Schizosaccharomyces pombe: one gene and its partners. The gene in region 1 interacts genetically with each later gene. Each region holds a gene or a part of one and is shown in the gene's direction. Other genes may lie near its edges.

The links.
Region 2: mutations in ppk29 (region 1) and SPOM_SPAC15A10.06 together harm fitness more than expected from each alone (negative genetic interaction), as found in Schizosaccharomyces pombe (one large-scale study listed by BioGRID).
Region 3: mutations in ppk29 (region 1) and SPOM_SPBC21C3.06 together harm fitness less than expected from each alone (positive genetic interaction), as found in Schizosaccharomyces pombe (one large-scale study listed by BioGRID).
Region 4: mutations in ppk29 (region 1) and fub1 together harm fitness less than expected from each alone (positive genetic interaction), as found in Schizosaccharomyces pombe (one large-scale study listed by BioGRID).

What each region holds. Positions count from the first base shown.
Region 1 is NC_003423.3:2,489,810-2,495,744, forward strand, and holds ppk29 (Ark1/Prk1 family protein kinase Ppk29), read left to right. Parts: upstream 1-2,036; 5' UTR 2,037-2,113; exon of another isoform or gene 2,114-2,151; 5' UTR 2,152-2,238; coding exon 2,239-2,338; intron 2,339-2,410; coding exon 2,411-2,544; intron 2,545-2,583; coding exon 2,584-4,968; 3' UTR 4,969-5,409; downstream 5,410-5,935. Other genes in the region: pim1 (RCC1 family Ran GEF), read right to left, coding at 1-238, 414-1,019; SPOM_SPBC557.05 (arrestin, meiosis specific), read left to right, coding at 5,415-5,929.
Region 2 is NC_003424.3:3,686,844-3,691,666, forward strand, and holds SPOM_SPAC15A10.06 (CPA1 sodium ion/proton antiporter), read left to right. Parts: upstream 1-1,803; 5' UTR 1,804-1,938; coding exon 1,939-1,963; intron 1,964-2,478; coding exon 2,479-2,795; intron 2,796-2,878; coding exon 2,879-3,598; exon of another isoform or gene 3,599-3,640; coding exon 3,641-4,282; downstream 4,283-4,823. Other genes in the region: cytochrome C oxidase assembly factor Coa2, read left to right, coding at 1,202-1,462; SPOM_SPAC15A10.07 (uncharacterized protein), read left to right, coding at 4,548-4,823.
Region 3 is NC_003423.3:3,805,445-3,808,448, forward strand, and holds SPOM_SPBC21C3.06 (uncharacterized protein), read left to right. Parts: upstream 1-1,645; coding exon 1,646-2,014; 3' UTR 2,015-2,269; coding exon of another isoform or gene 2,270-2,339; 3' UTR 2,340-2,386; coding exon of another isoform or gene 2,387-2,447; 3' UTR 2,448-2,474; downstream 2,475-3,004. Other genes in the region: U2 snRNP-associated protein Sap62, read left to right, coding at 358-483, 800-1,241, 1,305-1,390; trm140 (tRNA (cytosine) methyltransferase), read right to left, coding at 2,270-2,339, 2,387-2,447, 2,502-3,004.
Region 4 is NC_003424.3:3,730,399-3,733,870, forward strand, and holds fub1 (PI31 proteasome inhibitor domain-containing protein), read left to right. Parts: upstream 1-1,936; 5' UTR 1,937-2,044; coding exon 2,045-2,842; 3' UTR 2,843-2,965; downstream 2,966-3,472. Other genes in the region: NatA N-acetyltransferase complex catalytic subunit Naa10, read left to right, coding at 96-198, 246-302, 506-593; glutaredoxin Grx2, read left to right, coding at 873-1,026, 1,274-1,294, 1,342-1,410, 1,495-1,583; GMP synthase Gua2, read right to left, coding at 3,339-3,472. UniProt on the Schizosaccharomyces pombe protein: May play a role in the establishment of transcriptional silencing boundaries, preventing the propagation of heterochromatic silencing.

The sequences.
Region 1 (5,935 bases):
TAATATTTTTTAAAGCTAACGGTTGAGGAGTCAAGCCTTGAAGTCGACGACGTTCTAACATACGTCTACCCAGTTGAAACTGTTGACCATTACCCCATGTATATACTTTTCCTGTGGTAGTCAAGGCAATAATATGGTCCGTCCCTGTAGCTAATTGACAAATTTCGGGAAGTCGCATCTGCGTCGGTTCAGCTGTACGTTTTTGAGAATCGCTATACCCTAATACACCATCGGAACACTAGTATGTTAGCAAACGAAAAATGATAAATTTATAAAGCCATTTGTTCCAAAAGGGCGAAGGGAAATGATACAATGAGTCAATAGACTATAAACAACACTGCAACGATAACAGCACCTGAATTTGGAATCAAAGATCAAATGATAATTTTTCACGGCCAAAACAAATTACTTACACGGAAAGTACCCCAAGTAAAGCAGCAGCCATTGTCCGTTATTGCTGCAGTGAGATTGTCGCTACATATAACTTTTGTAACGCGTAGATGAGATAAAGCACCTTCGACCTTAGAAGGAGTTCCCTCTAGTAAATCATTGTCAACTTTGTCTCCATTCTCATCCTTTTGATCCTTAGTAAGACGACCAAGGGCATAGTCATCATTAACTCCCCAGGTGTATACGCGACCGTCATGAGAAAGGGCTGCAGAATGCATGCCGCCAACAGCCAAATCGACTACTCCTACTTTATCTGTAGATAAAATAGGATTCAAACGAGGACGATAAACGACATCCATTTCTTCTTCGCCCATACCTAGCTCGTTCATGGAACCGCTTCCAAAGACGTAAACGTTCAATCGTTCCGTAGGTAGTTCAGGTATCTTATTAATTCGCTTTGCGCTTCCTGGGACACGAACGGGTTTGGGTAGAGAGCTGACCTTTGCACGTTTAACCGGCTTTTTGCCATTTTTCATCACATCTGATTCATCTAATTCTCTTTTTTCAACCCCATTTTTTGAGACCTCCTCTCTTTTAGTTGAGCTTCTAGTACTTCTATTAGAAGTCATTATGAGTTTTAGCTGGAAGGGTTAGCTTTGCTACTAACAATCGATTTGTAATTTAAAAAAGAACAAGATGTCATCGCGTATTCCATGCAACCATCACCAGACGCAAATCCAAGAATTACATTTACTTTTTGGTACCACTTACTATAGCTTGGGTTTAAAATATTACAAAAGACAAAAAACAACGATTTATGTCGTTTTTGTTTTCGCAGAGACGTTGTTTTCAAAACTCGAACAAGTCGTTCTGTATACGGATTCTCACTATTCAGTATACTGCGAATCGTTGTTATGTGCAGCTTGTAATTAAGCATTCGTTAATTACAACATAAGCTTCGTTTAGCAAAATAAGTTATTGACTTCAGTAAAAGTTCCCAGCTTGTATTTGTTCAAATGTGTGTAAGGTGAGCTACGAATTTTTATGAAATCCTTTCTTTTTTTTTAACTTCATTTGATTTATATAAATTCGTTTAATCACGTCGAATGTTGAAAATTTGAGACCTCTTCTTATCTGAGAAAGCGGTTTCATGTATAGCTAAACAAAGATCAAATTTAAAAAAAAAGCTCATTAGTCATAAGAAGTTACAGTAAGACTCGGAGTGTCCATCGTTCAGCAAGATCGTATGCGAGAATACGAACTCAAGCAACGCGATTTTAATCTCTTCATAAATTATTTTTATGAGGACCATATACTTTTTTCCCTCATGATTTAATATTTAGTTACAATGAACATAGTCGTTAGCAGTTTCTGTTTTCTTTATTCTTTTCTGGATTTATATGTCTGTGAATTTGCCATGTCATAAATTTGGGTAACGATGTTACTCAACTTGATTCTACAAGTTTGCCTGTGAACTTGAGTATACTGTAAAATTAATTTCTCTTCTTAATCAGCTCAAATTATTAAAAGTTGTAGTTGAAATTTTCAAAATACGGCAAGTTGTCTTGTGGGGGGCGGTTTTATCTATCGGTAATGGCTCAAAGGTTAACCCTATAGAAGGGACTTGTGGTGTTTGGTGACTGGCTCAGTACCTTGCCAACAGCAGAATTGGCATCCCTTGCTCATCTTGATCAAAACTGTGTAAATACAGCCTTTTCAAAGAGTAAGTTATTATAATAAATTTACAACTAACGTAGATAGGGCTTCGGATGCTGTCCCATTGAATTGCGAGAGTGTAAACAATAACCTCGCGACTTCAGCCAGTATTGAACAAAAAACCTCTCTAGGATGTCTGTTGCATCCTTTCTCACGGGCGAAAAGCTTCTAGCAGGATCCAAGTTTGTAATTGGAAAATACAATGTTACTATCGAAAAGTACATAGCCGAAGGTATAATTTTTGGGTTGGATGGATCGAGGAGTATTACAATGAAAGATTTATTTTACTAACATTTTTCATTAGGCGGCTTTTCTCATGTATATCTTGTTCAAACAAATTCCAAAACTGATGGATCACCGATAACTGCTGTTTTGAAACGCATGTATTCTCCAGACGAGAATGCCCTGCGTTTCGTGAAAACTGAAATCGAAACGATGGTATGTTAACGTTATTGATTTTTTTGTCTAACTTATTAGGAACTACTCAAATCCAATCCCCACGTGGTTTCGTATATCGACTCCTGCATATTTCCTCTCGAGAAAGCGGGTGTCAACACTGGATTTGAAATCCTGCTTTTGATGGAATACTGCGCTGGGGGTGGATTGATAGATTTTATGAATCAAAGGTTACAAACTCGGTTGTCAGAGCATGAAGTCTTAAAAATTATTTCAGATATTGTACAGGGTGTTGCTTCCTTACACTATCTGAGACCTCCTCTCATTCATCGCGATCTGAAAGTAGAAAATGTTTTGCTAAGCTTTAATACTTTTAAATTGTGCGATTTTGGAAGTGTGACTGAGCCAATGCATGCTGCTGAAAACTCTAGCGAAATTCAAGCATTAGAAAAAAGTATCAACACATTTACTACCTACCAATATCGTGCCCCTGAGATGATTAATTTGTATTCAGGCTTAGGAATTGATGAGAAAAGTGACATGTGGGCTTTAGGAGTCTTGTTATACAAACTCTGTTACTATACAACTCCTTTTGAAACACAAGGTCCTAACGCTATATTAACAGCTTCATATTCCTTCCCCCCATTTCCTCCTTATTCACATTCTCTTAAAAATGTCATCATCGCTTTACTTCAGCCGAATCCTTGTCTTCGTCCAAATATTTTTCAGTTGATGTGTGAGATATGTCGTCTTAGAGGGACGGCTTTACCTTTTAGGGATATATACAGTGGAAGAGAGTCGTCTTTTTATGATTTGCATAACCGGAAAATAATGTCTTTGCTTCGACAAACAACAACAACACCGTTTGCTGGAAACCAAGTCATGCCGACTCCACAGGTTCAGGGCTCAAGACCTCCCCCTCCTCCTCCTATGCCAGCTCCTATCTATAACGTACCAAATGTGCCGACTGTACCAACCGTTTCCCCTAATCCATTTTTGCAACCTACTTTCTCTGGCACTTCTCAAGCTAGTGCACATCCTTCTATCCACAGCCAATCCGCAACATTTAACAACACTCAAGATGTGAACAGACAGAGTGTTTCGTCTCCGAAGGTTGTTTCATCAAGTTCTGTAACTGGCTCAGGAGCTAGTGGTCGCAAAGTCTACACACCTCAAAGTAAGAATCCCTTCCCAATATCTCAGGGAGTCACGGGAACATCTTCAAAATTTTCTGCTAGCGAGGTTACAGAAGATAATGGTTCACCAAACGCCGGACTCGATGCCGATAACGTTGACGTTGAGGAAGTTGTTAACCAGCGTTATCCTGATCTAAATGAGTTGGAGTCACAGCTTACTAGTCATACTAATATTACGACTAGTTCTCATCATAACCCTAGGGAACAAGAGATAGCAAAATTGGCTGATGATGCATTCGCTAGTTTCCGTCAGACAGCTGGTACTTCAACCGCAAATAGTACTCATACCACTGGTACTCAGGATATATCTGCCTTTGATACAAATTTTTCGGAAGGGGTTGGTAGCGTAAGGTCTTCTTTTGATTTCCCTGATCGTCCAGTATCTAGACGACCTTCAAGCACTTCTAGGTCGTCTGTTAAAATTACTGGACCTTCGAGCCCCAATGCGCGTTCTATGGCTTATGAGCAACACTCCTTTAACCTTGATGATTTGAGTAATACTAATTTTGGTTCTAATAATTCTCTTAGACATGCCAAATCATTTTCCAAATATTATTCACCTTCTCATAAAGATTCGAACAAAACTTCCAGAAACACATCTAAAGAGGGGCTCCCCTCCAGTCCTACTATGCTCTATCGTACAACATCTAATACTAGAGGTGACTATATCGTTCAACGCACACAACAGTCTGCCAATCCTTTGACAAATATCGAACCCCAAGATATGTCAAACCTTAGTACTGATATTAATGCTTCTGACGTTGTTGCCGATTCAACCAACTCTATTCTTTATCCTACTTCGACCGCGTCTTCTGTTGCCAACACTATTGCCTCCGATGTTGACGACTTTGGAACTTTTAATGGTTTACAAAGAACCGTGAGTTTACATAGTGAGCGGGCAAGTCTTGACAAGAAGCGTCCTTCTTTTCATGACAAAAATCCGTACTTTAAATTTTCTCCAAGCAAGTATGTTGACGAAGGATTGGAAGGTGAAAGTGAATTAAGAGAGCGTGTACGAAGTTATGCTAACCGCTCAAGTTCAAGTTTCCATAATCCAGATTTAACAGACACAGAAATTCAAGAGACGTCTTTTAATAACGATTTGAGGCCTGTAGCTTCTATTCAAAGTGCAGAAACCTCCAGAAGCGTAAGTGATAGACCTGCAAATTTTCCAGAGGAATTAAACGACACGTTATTTGAGCAAAAATATCCGGGAATTGTTGATTACGAGGAACCCAATTCGAATGCAGAAAAGAACGTTAATATTTGAGTTATCAACCAGACTTTACCGACTTTAAACTAATTATATTTTTTTGCAATGATTTATTTCCTTATTATATATATAAATCCTTCATGCAAATTCGGTGTTGCCTTTGAAGAGTTTTAGATGGATGATTTTTTGATATGTACCGCTTGATGTCACGGCCTGTGCTTCAAGTCTTTGGAATTTTTACTCATGTTATTCTCTGTATCTATCGTTGTTCACTAGTTCTCCAGGAATTGGAGTTCCCTATACATAACTCGGATACATAGTAGCCAAAATTCTAATATCAGTTTTTCAATATAAATTCCATTTTTTGGATTATTGTAAAAGCTTTAGTTATTGACAAGTTATTATTTATTTTCAGCGCAGAGTTTTATGTTGTCAAAGCTCGTTATTCCAATCGTGGTTAAATAATCAGAACAAGTAAACAAACAAATACCCAACTAGATAACATGGATTTGTGGAAGAAAGGAAAGCGCTTCTTTCGATTTAGTAAAGAACCAGTAATTACATGTATTAATACTAGTTATGCTGGTAAAGAAATTATATTTGATTTAATTGCCAACCCGCAAATGGAAACTAAAGATGTCAATCTTACTTTGGATTTTGATGCACCAATTTTCCACCGAAAAGCAGGAATAGACGGGCTGCTAACACTAACTAATAAGTCAAAAGTAAACGAAATTCAGCTGATCAGTATCGAAGTCTTTATAATTGGAATATGTAAACACAAGTTTCATTCGTCAACAGTCTTCCTGTGTTTAGGAACTCACATCATGGAAGGGCAATACATTGTACCAGAAGAACTCTTAGATTATGCTAAAAAAAGGGGGAAAAACCGGATAATCAGTATTCCCAATCATTCAACAGTTGACATTCCATTTCAAGTCAATTTTCCTAAACACGTCGAAGTAGGACCTGGCCGACAAATCCATTCAAGGGTAAAGGTACAGTATTTTGCATACGCGTAAGT
Region 2 (4,823 bases), on another chromosome or scaffold:
TCTACCTTCCTCAATATGATTTCATAATTCTCATGTAATACAAGTTTTGCTAATAAATTAATTGAATTCATACATCTATCAATAAGTAAGCAAAAACTACCTAAATAACATTCAAAATATGTTTTAATAGCCTTCGAGCTCAACATTTGAATAGGAAAACGAGATATCGTTTCTCTTCAACACCAAGTCTTTTATTTTGAATTCCGGTATGTAAATATCAAGATTTTTATTGTTCCTCCTCTTTTAGGCTAATGAGTTACAATATTTACTAAATGTTAATTGAAACATCCGATTTTACCCGGAAGTAATAGATAGACTGTGTGCATAAGATCAAATGCAGTACTTTGATTAAATACTAGACTTCCAATAATTTTGCAATACCTTGTTAATTCTTCATCTTGAATAAAACATACCCTTAATGTTTTTCTGCTGCTGGTTCCTTACTCTTTTCTGTTTAACGAGAATTTTCCTTTTGATATGGCAAAGGTTTTGCATGTGAAAATGACATTATTCTTTAAAAAATTCCATAAAAAAAAGAATTGTAAACTGTTGGAATTTTAAGATCCAGAAGTTTTTTCTTTGAAGCACACAAAGGTTTAAAAAACTTACATTCATCGATTCAACGCCATTATTTAAATTCCGTGCAAATATTTTACTCAATTATCCTATTTTAGACTCTATTTTAATAATCATATATACTTCAGCTTGCTTATTAGAAGGCCAAACACTTTGGCTATTTGTTTACCAAGGAAATGAAGGAATTGCAGATCCTTAATATTGAAAAAAGCAAAGCATTACTGTTGTTATTTTCTAATTGTTGGACCCGACATATGTTTTTGTTGTTACCATAAAAATGCTCTTGTATTGCTTATACAGGTCCTTCTTTATTTAATTTCTGAATATCTCGTTTTTGTTTCTGACAATTTAAACTAAAGACACAAAAATTAGTAATTAAAGAATGTTTATTTTTTATTAAACATCAATAACTCACAGTCTTTACTGTTTTAGTCATACATTGAATTGTGCCTTCTGAAGAGATCCTTATACTCTCATTGGTCATTGGCCATTGGGATATTCTCTATCCATATGGTACCTTAGTAGAAGTTTTGTAACTCATCTTCAACAATCGTCTCTTCTTCTTACGATTTAGCTGTTTTTTATAATTTTCTCATGTTTTTTTGTTCTTAAAAATTTCTTTCTAATGTTTCGTACTTTGAAAGCTTCACAGAAAAGGTCACTCGTGAACTTGATGTTCGGAACGACTGCTCTTTTCGCAACTGCCACCGTAATTTTCCCTTCATTACTGCCTTGTCCAGCTATGAAGAACCCATATTTGGATACCCAATCTGATCCTGGATATGAAGAATTACCTGAAAACTCTCGTGTTATTGTCATCGATCAACAATCTCCTAAAAGCTCTCTAGTTGCTTCCAAACAAAACAATCCTCCTTCAAAATCTTAATATAGGTCATCATAAAGCTTGAGAAATATTTTTATTATTGCATATATCAATCTCTCCCTTCTCTTCCTTCTTCATTCAATAGTTTCTAGGATTCCTTGCTTCCCTTTTGCGCTAGGTATTTCCCTAACCTACGTTTAGGGACTCCATAATATAATTTAAATACATTTTTTTTACTTCGAAACATCTTATAGTGATTACTTTCGTGTCACTATTAATATTTTTAGTACACTGACTTAAGTTATCTTAACATTTTAGCCCGCACATCTCGGCTGCGCATTAGGTTCTGGTATCTTGCTGTGGTAGTAGTATTTGTACTAGTAAACCCACTTAACGTCCTTACTATATACAGAAAGGTACTGCCGGTTGCTTCAATTCTTAATTATTTTTCTATTATTGCCTTTAGAGTACTCTAGTCAACTCTCAGCATCGCCAGGTTGTTAAAAAAAAGTTAGTTTACCTTTCACTTGGTGCTTTATATGCTTGATACAATTCTTATAAATGGTAAGTTTCCGTTATTCTTTACTTTCAGGTGCACATATAGTAAATCGAATACTATAACAGGCTATACGGATGAATGACACAAGCTACTCATTTATAGCATCAGCCATTTTGAAAACGTGCATTTTTTAACTGAACAAAAAATTGAGTTTGGAGTTTTACCATACGAAATGCTTGCCTTTTTTTTCTTCCATTATTTGTCAGTCTTTTTTTCTGCTTAATCGTTTTGGGATAGGATCTCGATCGCTCTTTACTAGCATTCAGTTCGTCAATACATTTTGGCATTGAATTAGCGGTTATGCGTTACGTTACTTTGAATAACTTCGAATGATGTTTTTCTCTTTATATAACATTTGCATTTGCAGCCAGCAATGTAAAATCTTTCGCCTTTCTTTTTTCTTTAATTTGGCGTCTTTTAATTAAGCAATGCCAGATTCTAAGCATTGGGTTATTCTCCGTATAGCTTATTGTTTAGTTACCAAAATTATTTTTCAACTTTTATTCTGACAATGTTTTAGTTTTTCGTCGAGATGGCGATGACGACGACGATGATGGTCAAGACCCTGCTTTGCAAGAATTATACTCAAGCTGGGCTCTTTTCATATTACTAGTCCTTTTGATTGGTGCCTTGCTTACTAGTTACTATGTTCAATCCAAAAAGATCCGGGCCATTCATGAAACTGTAATTTCGGTATTTGTTGGTATGGTTGTTGGGCTTATCATTCGCGTTTCTCCGGGATTGATTATCCAGAACATGGTTTCTTTTCATTCCACATATTTCTTCAATGTTTTGCTTCCCCCGATTATTCTCAATTCCGGTTATGAATTGCATCAGGTATATAGTTTTGAGTGAAATGCTATACTAAAGTCTCCATTTCTTTCCTTTATCTTTTTGTTATACTTTTCTAACCAATATAGTCAAATTTCTTTCGTAACATTGGTACAATTCTAACATTTGCCTTTGCTGGTACCTTTATATCTGCAGTCACCCTGGGAGTCCTAGTCTACATTTTCTCCTTTCTTAATTTTGAAAACCTTTCTATGACTTTTGTTGAAGCCTTGTCTATGGGTGCAACTTTGTCCGCTACAGATCCAGTTACTGTGCTTGCTATTTTCAACTCGTATAAGGTGGATCAAAAGTTGTATACTATTATTTTTGGAGAGAGTATCCTTAATGATGCTGTTGCAATCGTAATGTTTGAGACGCTGCAGCAATTTCAAGGAAAAACTTTACATTTTTTTACCTTATTCAGCGGTATTGGAATTTTTATTATCACATTCTTTATTAGTTTACTTATTGGAGTTTCTATTGGGCTCATAACTGCGCTTTTGCTAAAGTATTCTTATTTACGCCGTTATCCTTCTATAGAGTCTTGTATTATTCTCCTCATGGCATACACCTCCTACTTTTTTTCAAACGGCTGCCACATGTCAGGCGTAGTTTCCTTATTGTTTTGTGGAATAACGCTAAAGCACTATGCCTTTTTCAACATGTCATATAAAGCAAAGCTTAGCACGAAGTATGTTTTTCGGGTTCTTGCGCAACTCTCGGAAAACTTTATCTTCATTTATCTTGGCATGTCTCTGTTTACCCAGGTTGACTTGGTTTACAAACCAATTTTTATTCTGATTACCACAGTAAGTCAATTTACACTTATTTTCTTTACTAACTTGCCTAAGGTTGCCGTTACCGCATCTAGATACATGAACGTGTTTCCATTGAGCAATTTGCTCAACAAATTCCACCGTCAGAGAAATGGTAACCTCATTGATCATATACCTTACAGTTACCAAATGATGCTTTTTTGGGCGGGCCTACGAGGTGCAGTTGGAGTAGCGTTGGCAGCAGGCTTTGAAGGAGAAAATGCTCAAACGCTGCGAGCGACTACATTGGTTGTTGTCGTCTTGACCCTAATTATATTTGGCGGTACTACTGCCAGAATGCTCGAAATTTTGCATATTGAAACTGGTGTAGCGGCTGATGTTGACAGTGACACAGAAATCGGCATGCTACCTTGGCAACAGTCACCAGAGTTTGATTTGGAAAATAGCGCAATGGAGCTATCAGACGCTTCTGCTGAACCAGTTGTTGTCGACCAACAATTTACGACGGAACATTTTGATGAAGGCAACATTGCACCTACACTTTCTAAGAAGGTTTCAAGCACATTTGAGCAATACCAACGAGCAGCTGGTGCTTTCAACCAATTTTTCCATTCTTCACGAGATGATCAAGCTCAATGGTTAACGCGCTTTGATGAAGAGGTCATAAAACCAGTGCTTCTGGAGAGAGATAACCTTAAAAATGGAACAAAAAAATAATTGTTCCGATTCATAGAATTAATAGTCTACTTATGTTTACACAGTATATGTTCGTGTCAGTTTAATGAATATGCTTTTGGTCTTACGACCTCGTTTCTCCTTTTATCATTTATGAATTTTTAAGAAGGATTTTTTAATGAACTGATCTATTAAAATTCCCGTTGACTTATAGTTGACGTCTATGGTGTGGCATTCGCACATTACACGTACCCAAGTCGATGATTTTCCAACAACTACCAATTTCTTCCTTACTAACATTTTAAGCATGTCCGTAGTCTTTAGGACCGTAGAAGATCCTGAATTAAAGAGTATATGCACCACATTTACCTCTAGCATATCTGCTGAGTTTGATTCAAACACACTCGTATGTGATTTAGTTGAAACAGACCTTTTTACCGAAGAAGGCACATCTCAGATATTTACCTTTAAGAAGAATGTCCTCATTTTGCCAGCAAATGTTCCTGAAGGAATTGAATTACGGATTCTTGAAGAAAATGTTAGTCTTCCATTGAAGGAGTTTGAACCCATTAAAGTGCCAGCA
Region 3 (3,004 bases), 1.3 Mb from region 1:
CCCAGTATTTTAAATTGGAAGCAAATTGCTGCAGTCCCGGCTTTTTAAATATTGAAAGCATATTAAATATACTCATATATGGGAGCATCAATACATTAAATTTATCAAAAGTTATTATTTTTTTTTGTTTTTACGTGACATAATAAAATGGAGAAAAGGAGCTCTAATCTGCTATTTAAAATATTTGTTAAAAAAAAGGCATCGACGATGAGAATTTAGCGTATTGTTCTGCATTGCGATATTTCTTTAAACATAGGGGTTCACGAAAGTACAGCCTCTGCCACCGTCTTTTAGGGGACTTTATTGTCATTGTGAAAGTACAGAAAAATAAGTGTTGGATTTTCTAGGAACTAAAAAATGGATTATCAAAACCGCGCAGGTGTTCGTTTTGGAGGAGGAGGCGTTGCTGGCTATCAAGAAACAAATGCTGCACGTAGAGAGCGTCTTCGTAAATTGGCGCTAGAAACCATTGATTTATCAAAGGTATGTTTAAAAACCACTGAATTCTGAAAATTTGAGTGCTGAATGTCAATTATAATTACCGATGAATTAATCGTGTAAAGTAAGACATGTACGTATGTTACATATTATTGAAGTTTATTAGTAGTTGCTGTTAAATTCGCTAACTATAACAACTAAAATAACAACAATAATAAATGAAAAGGATTTGCTTTCTACTTCCTTGTTTGCTGTTTTGCATGTTACACTAATTGGACATCTTTTTTTTACCCTGTCAATCACCTTGAAGCTTCCTCCTCAAACTCTTTGCGATGATATTTCTATTGCTAATCTCTTATAGGATCCATATTTGATGAAAAATCATTTAGGCACTTTTGAATGTCGTCTTTGCCTCACTACACATGCGAATGAAAACTCTTACCTTACCCATACACAAGGTAAAAAACACCAGACAAATTTAGCCAGGAGACAGGCTCTCGAAAATAAAAAGTCTCAAGAGAATGCACCACAAGTGTTGTTGGGCATTTCTCAATCCCATGTCCAGGTTAAAAAAAGTGTCGTAAAAATTGGTCGACCCGGTTATAAAGTGTCCAAAATAAGAGAAGCCGAAAGCGGAAAATTTGGCCTACGTTTCCAAATAAAGTATCCAGATATTGAAGTGAACGCTAAGCCAAGATACAGAATTATGAGTGCTTATGAACAGCGTGTTGAAGCTCCTGACCGAAAGTTTCAGTATCTGGTAGTGGCTGCTGAACCATACGAATCAATAGCCTTTAAAATTGGTATGTTGGTTTTACTGATTTTTTATTTATATTAACTTTGTTGCGCAGATGCTCACGAAATAGATCGTGCACCCGGGAAATTTTGGAGTTATTGGGATGCACCTACATATACTATCCAATTCTTTTACAACTTAACAAAAATATCGTAAATTTTGAGCTGCTATCCTAAATTTCCTTTTTATGAAACAAAATGTCTTTTCCAAATATTTCGCTCAGTCTCCCAATTTATCAATACCGCAGTTCTTTATGTGTGTAAAAGAATTCGAACTCAATCATTCTGAATTGTTTCTCCACACGTGAATTGTAGAAGAACCGTGCTAGCTAAACCTATTTTGGTGATTTATATACTTATTTTCCCAGATTTGTGGAAGTACCAATTGATAAAGTTGGCTAACTTCTACTGTATGGCGTTCGATAAATTAGCAAATGTCGCTACAGTGGACGCGATTTTTGCGATATCTAGCTCAACTTTCCTTTGGTCTACATGGGTTCTACAACGGACAATATTAAAACGGCCTAATTTTTTTTCTCCAAACCCAGTTGTTGAGAAAATGGTGCATCCAACTTTGATTACTTGGAAATTGTTTTCATTTACATCAGTATTAACTGTTTCAACCTTTACCTTCGCTTCCTGTTTGATAATGCGAACAATTGGTGTTGAAAATATAAAAGAATTTGGTCTTTATGCTCGAGAAAAGCTTAGTTTTGCAAGAGCAAAGCCAGTTAAGGATGACATTACCAGCTTTCCTAATCACAAAATTAGTATCACTTAAATTGTATACTATAAAAAGTAATTACGTGTTTATTTTACACTTTTTAAAATGTACACGGCTTCCCTCTTTCAGTCAAGTCATGATACCGTTATATGAATATTCTATAAATTAATGGGAATCCCTTTATAAAAGTCACAAAAAGCTATGCGTTTATCATAAATGATTGTATATGGCTTCATTGCAGGCAATGAACATAAGCCTCCAAATTCCTGAGTCCATGAGCTTTGGGAAAATTACTTAAGAATGAGTAATTTGTCATTTTTGAAACTTGGCTTGTAGCCAGCAACGGTACATCTTGACTCTTTTTTTTCGGTTTACAATAAGCCTAGTATGGAGATTAGTTCAGATTCGCAAAGCCGTTTGAAAATTTACCTTTTGTCAACTCCATTTTGAATAATTTTGAAATTTTTTCCAAAAACATCCACTAGTTCTTCTATTGCAAAGTTAGTAATCATTAAGGACTAATAATAGTTTTCGTTGACTTTACCGTTTGTCATGTAATACACTCTTGTACCATCACCTCTTATGTAAAAATTTTCACTTAAAATTCTGTTCTTTTTAGCTCTTAGCTGCGTCAAATCTAAACGACCATAGTCACGAAATAAAATTAATCCTCCAGGCTTTAATAATCGATACAAGTTTTCTATAGCTTGTTGCCATTGATCGGGGGACAATGCTGAAAAACAGAAAATGAGTGTAATCGCATCAATAGACGCTTCTTCAATGGATCTTAGTAAGTCTGATCCTGCCAGATCCCAAACCGAAGCACTGCAAAACTTGGCATCGTATAATGGGTTCTGTTTAACAACATCAATGGCCTTTTCTGAATAATCAACAGCAAATATTTTAAGATTTGAGTTTTTGTTTTCCTTCAAAATTGGCCAGATAGTGTTTCCAGCACCGCATCCAATTTCTAAAATTGATTTTTCTCCTGCATCTTCTTTTAGCAAGTCAAGAAGCTCTGGGAACTCTTGCGCAATCCATCTTCTA
Region 4 (3,472 bases), on another chromosome or scaffold:
GTTTCCTTCCTGCTGATTCCTTGATATTTTCGGTCCATTCCTTAAACAAAATTTTTTTAAAAAAAGTAAAAGATACTAACTACTTAAATGAACAGAAAGAGCCATGGTCGAAGTTTATGGCGCCAAATATATGAGTCTTCATGTTCGTAAAAGCAACAGAGCTGCTATTCATCTTTATCGTGATACTTTGCAATTTGAGTATGTTTTTACTCGCCATCATTGAAGAGATTCTAACATTATTTTAGCGTTCAAGGGATTGAAAGCAAATATTATGCTGATGGTGAAGATGCTTATGCTATGCAGTAAGTACTTTGTTGTAAAAACTAGGTTGGGGATGGTTGCATGGATCGTTTAATGAGTATTCTTTCCAAAAACTATATACAATCTTTGTGACAATCGTTCTTTCTTTAGTTTGGTCAACTTCTGTATAATTACCTACGTTGTTTCAGACAATATATGACTGTTCAACGTCATCACAACTATCTAGGTTACTAACAATTTTTAGCAAAGATTTTTCTACTTTGAAATTCGATACACCAGAAACCAACGACGAACTAGCAAAAACCGTTCAATCTCTTGCATTGAACAACTAATAAAATATATACCGTTATTTCTAATTAGTGAATTAGGGTGTAGTGTACGATACTGCAGTTATAACTTCGTGATAGCGTATTTAACATTTGATTGTACTCGCTTACTGGTGTACTAAATATATTTCGAAATAACTCTTGTAATTTCGAGTTTTTGTTTATCACATCTAACTGCCTAATCGTGTCGTTTGGTGTTAGGTAGCCCAACACCTCGATAGTCATACTGTATTACTTGTCACCAATATCCACTGCATTTTTAGACGAATACCTATTTAAGCTGAAATGACTTCTATAGCAAAAGCTTTTGTTGAAAAGGCGATCTCAAACAATCCGGTTACTGTCTTTAGTAAATCGTTCTGTCCTTTCTGCAAAGCAGCCAAAAATACTCTTACAAAGTACTCTGCTCCGTATAAGGCTTATGAGTTAGATAAAATAGGTAAGTATGGTATTCTTCATTTGTTTAAGAGCTGAAGATTCAGTTGATCGATTGTAAAGTTTCTTGAGTTATGTCTACATAAATTAAGTATATGAAATAATAGTCTAATTGGGTTTTCGAAACCTCATAATTGTGTAATGAAACTACGAAAATTTTTGTTTCCTTCCATGATCTTGAGAAATAGCGAAACATTTCAAGTTTTTTGTTCTGCTTTTCATCCTTTTTAACTAACTTGATGTTACACTAGAAAATGGATCTGACATCCAAGGTGTGTTTAGTTAACAAACTGATTTTATCATATGCTTACCTGAGCAGCTTATTTACATGAAAAGACCAAACAGTCTACAGTACCCAGCATATTCTTTCGCAACCAATTCATTGGAGGTATGAACCCAAATTTGTTTTCCTTGACCATTAATATTCTCGTTGGTTTTTCTCTGTTGTTTATTACTAATACATTATATAAAGGCAATTCCGATTTGAACAAACTTCGTAGCTCAGGCACTTTGACGAAGATGATAGCAGAGCTTAAGGAAAACAAATCTTCAATTTTATGATTATCTTTAGGATTTATATAGCGAACGACTTTACAATATTATTTTTTAGGGAAACGAGATAACGAACTGAATGTGCAGTTGCAAAACAATTCTATTATAACATTAAAGGTATCTTTATCTTCAATCAGTTTCTAGTTTCCTGCTCACTTTGAACAGCAAGTTTTCTTCAGTTGCAAAACACACAGTGTGTGCTTTTTTTTGGAAAAAGTTATTTAGCCAGATTACTTTTCTACTTACTATATACCAAGTTTAATAGTGAAATCATTTGACTTCAATCTCATCACCTCTAGTAGTCGCCATGCATTGATTGCCACTTGGTAATATAAATGACACAACAGAAGCGACCTCACGAAGACACACACACAGTACGTACAAAGTGATGTACTTTTCCTTTGTTCACTGAACCCAAGTAATACAATTGGTTTTTCGTATATATTTATTTATATTATTTTTCACTGATCATGAATAACCCGACTTCCGACGATCGTTTACGCTTCCAACAAAAATGCCATAAATCCATGCTAAACACTGGGGCGATATTTAAAAACTGTAAATTACGAAACGGAGATGTTTTGCAAGAAGTCACTGAAAGCTTAACTGAAGACAGTGAATTCAACTACATTGTAAATGAGTCTCAGAATGTTTCTACTCGTTTAATATTTTGGAATAAATGGATTTATATTTTGTGTGCTAATACTTCATCAAATATCACAGCTACAAGGATTTTCCGTTTAGATGATGATCAGCCTTGGAATTTGGAATCTTTAGTTGCAGAGGTTTGTCCAGTTGATACAGATAATCGGCTTGCTGAACATGCTGCACGTACCGCTAAAGATACCTCGGCTAATGAGTTAAATTATGAATCATATCAGGAGAAGAGCAGAGCTCCATTTGGGTTTGCTGGACCATTTGGTGCAATGCCTGGCTCACAACCAATGTTTCCTTCTATAGGAGCAAGTGATTTGTATCCAGCAGGAATCGGAGGATCTGATATGGGCAACGATGGAGGTATGATTCCTACATTCAATCATCCTATTTTTCATCCTGAAAACAGGTCTCGAAATGAACAAGCTTCAGCAAACCGAACTAATATACCACCAGGAGCTCGTTACGATCCCACAGGCCCTGGTGATTTTCGTGGATTCGGCAGGGATGAGAGGAAACCTCAATTTCCTTTTAAAGGCCCGCGATCTCAATTTCCCGGTGAACCTGACAATGATGACTTCATGCCACCTGGTTCATCCGATATGTTTATGTAAATTGGTCACTTTATAAGTATTACAAGAAATGTTAGATGATAGGATATGTTATTTAAATAATAGTAAAAGATTTTGGTTTTGATTTTTTTTTCTTAATATGTGAATTTTAATGCTCAATTTCGGAATAAACGCATACTACTGGATATCTCTACTTCTTTAAATAATTGAGTTTTCTACTATTTGCGTACAAAGTTTAGTAAGTTCCTCTTCTAAAGAGCGCATTTATACAAGTGTTAAGAATGAAACCAGCAGGACCTAATGAAAACGTCTAGTATTTATTTTCAATAGGACGGTCTTAGCACCGAATTGATAATTTCAAAACATACACTCGGGCACATGCCTACTCATAAATTTTTTAAGCTGTTAGATGTTTATTATTTAACCTCATCTAAACTTATTTACTACTACCTGCCACTAGAATCCAAGAACTAAACAAATTTCTAACCAAAAGTATAAAAGATGTAACAAAAGGTACCGTATGCTGTTAGGAACATTATTACTCCATTTCGACAGTTGCCGGAGGCTTACTGCTAATGTCATACAATACACGATTAACACCAGACACTTCGTTGCAAATACGGGAGCTGACCAACTTCAAAAACTTAATGCTAAACCCATCGTACCAATCAG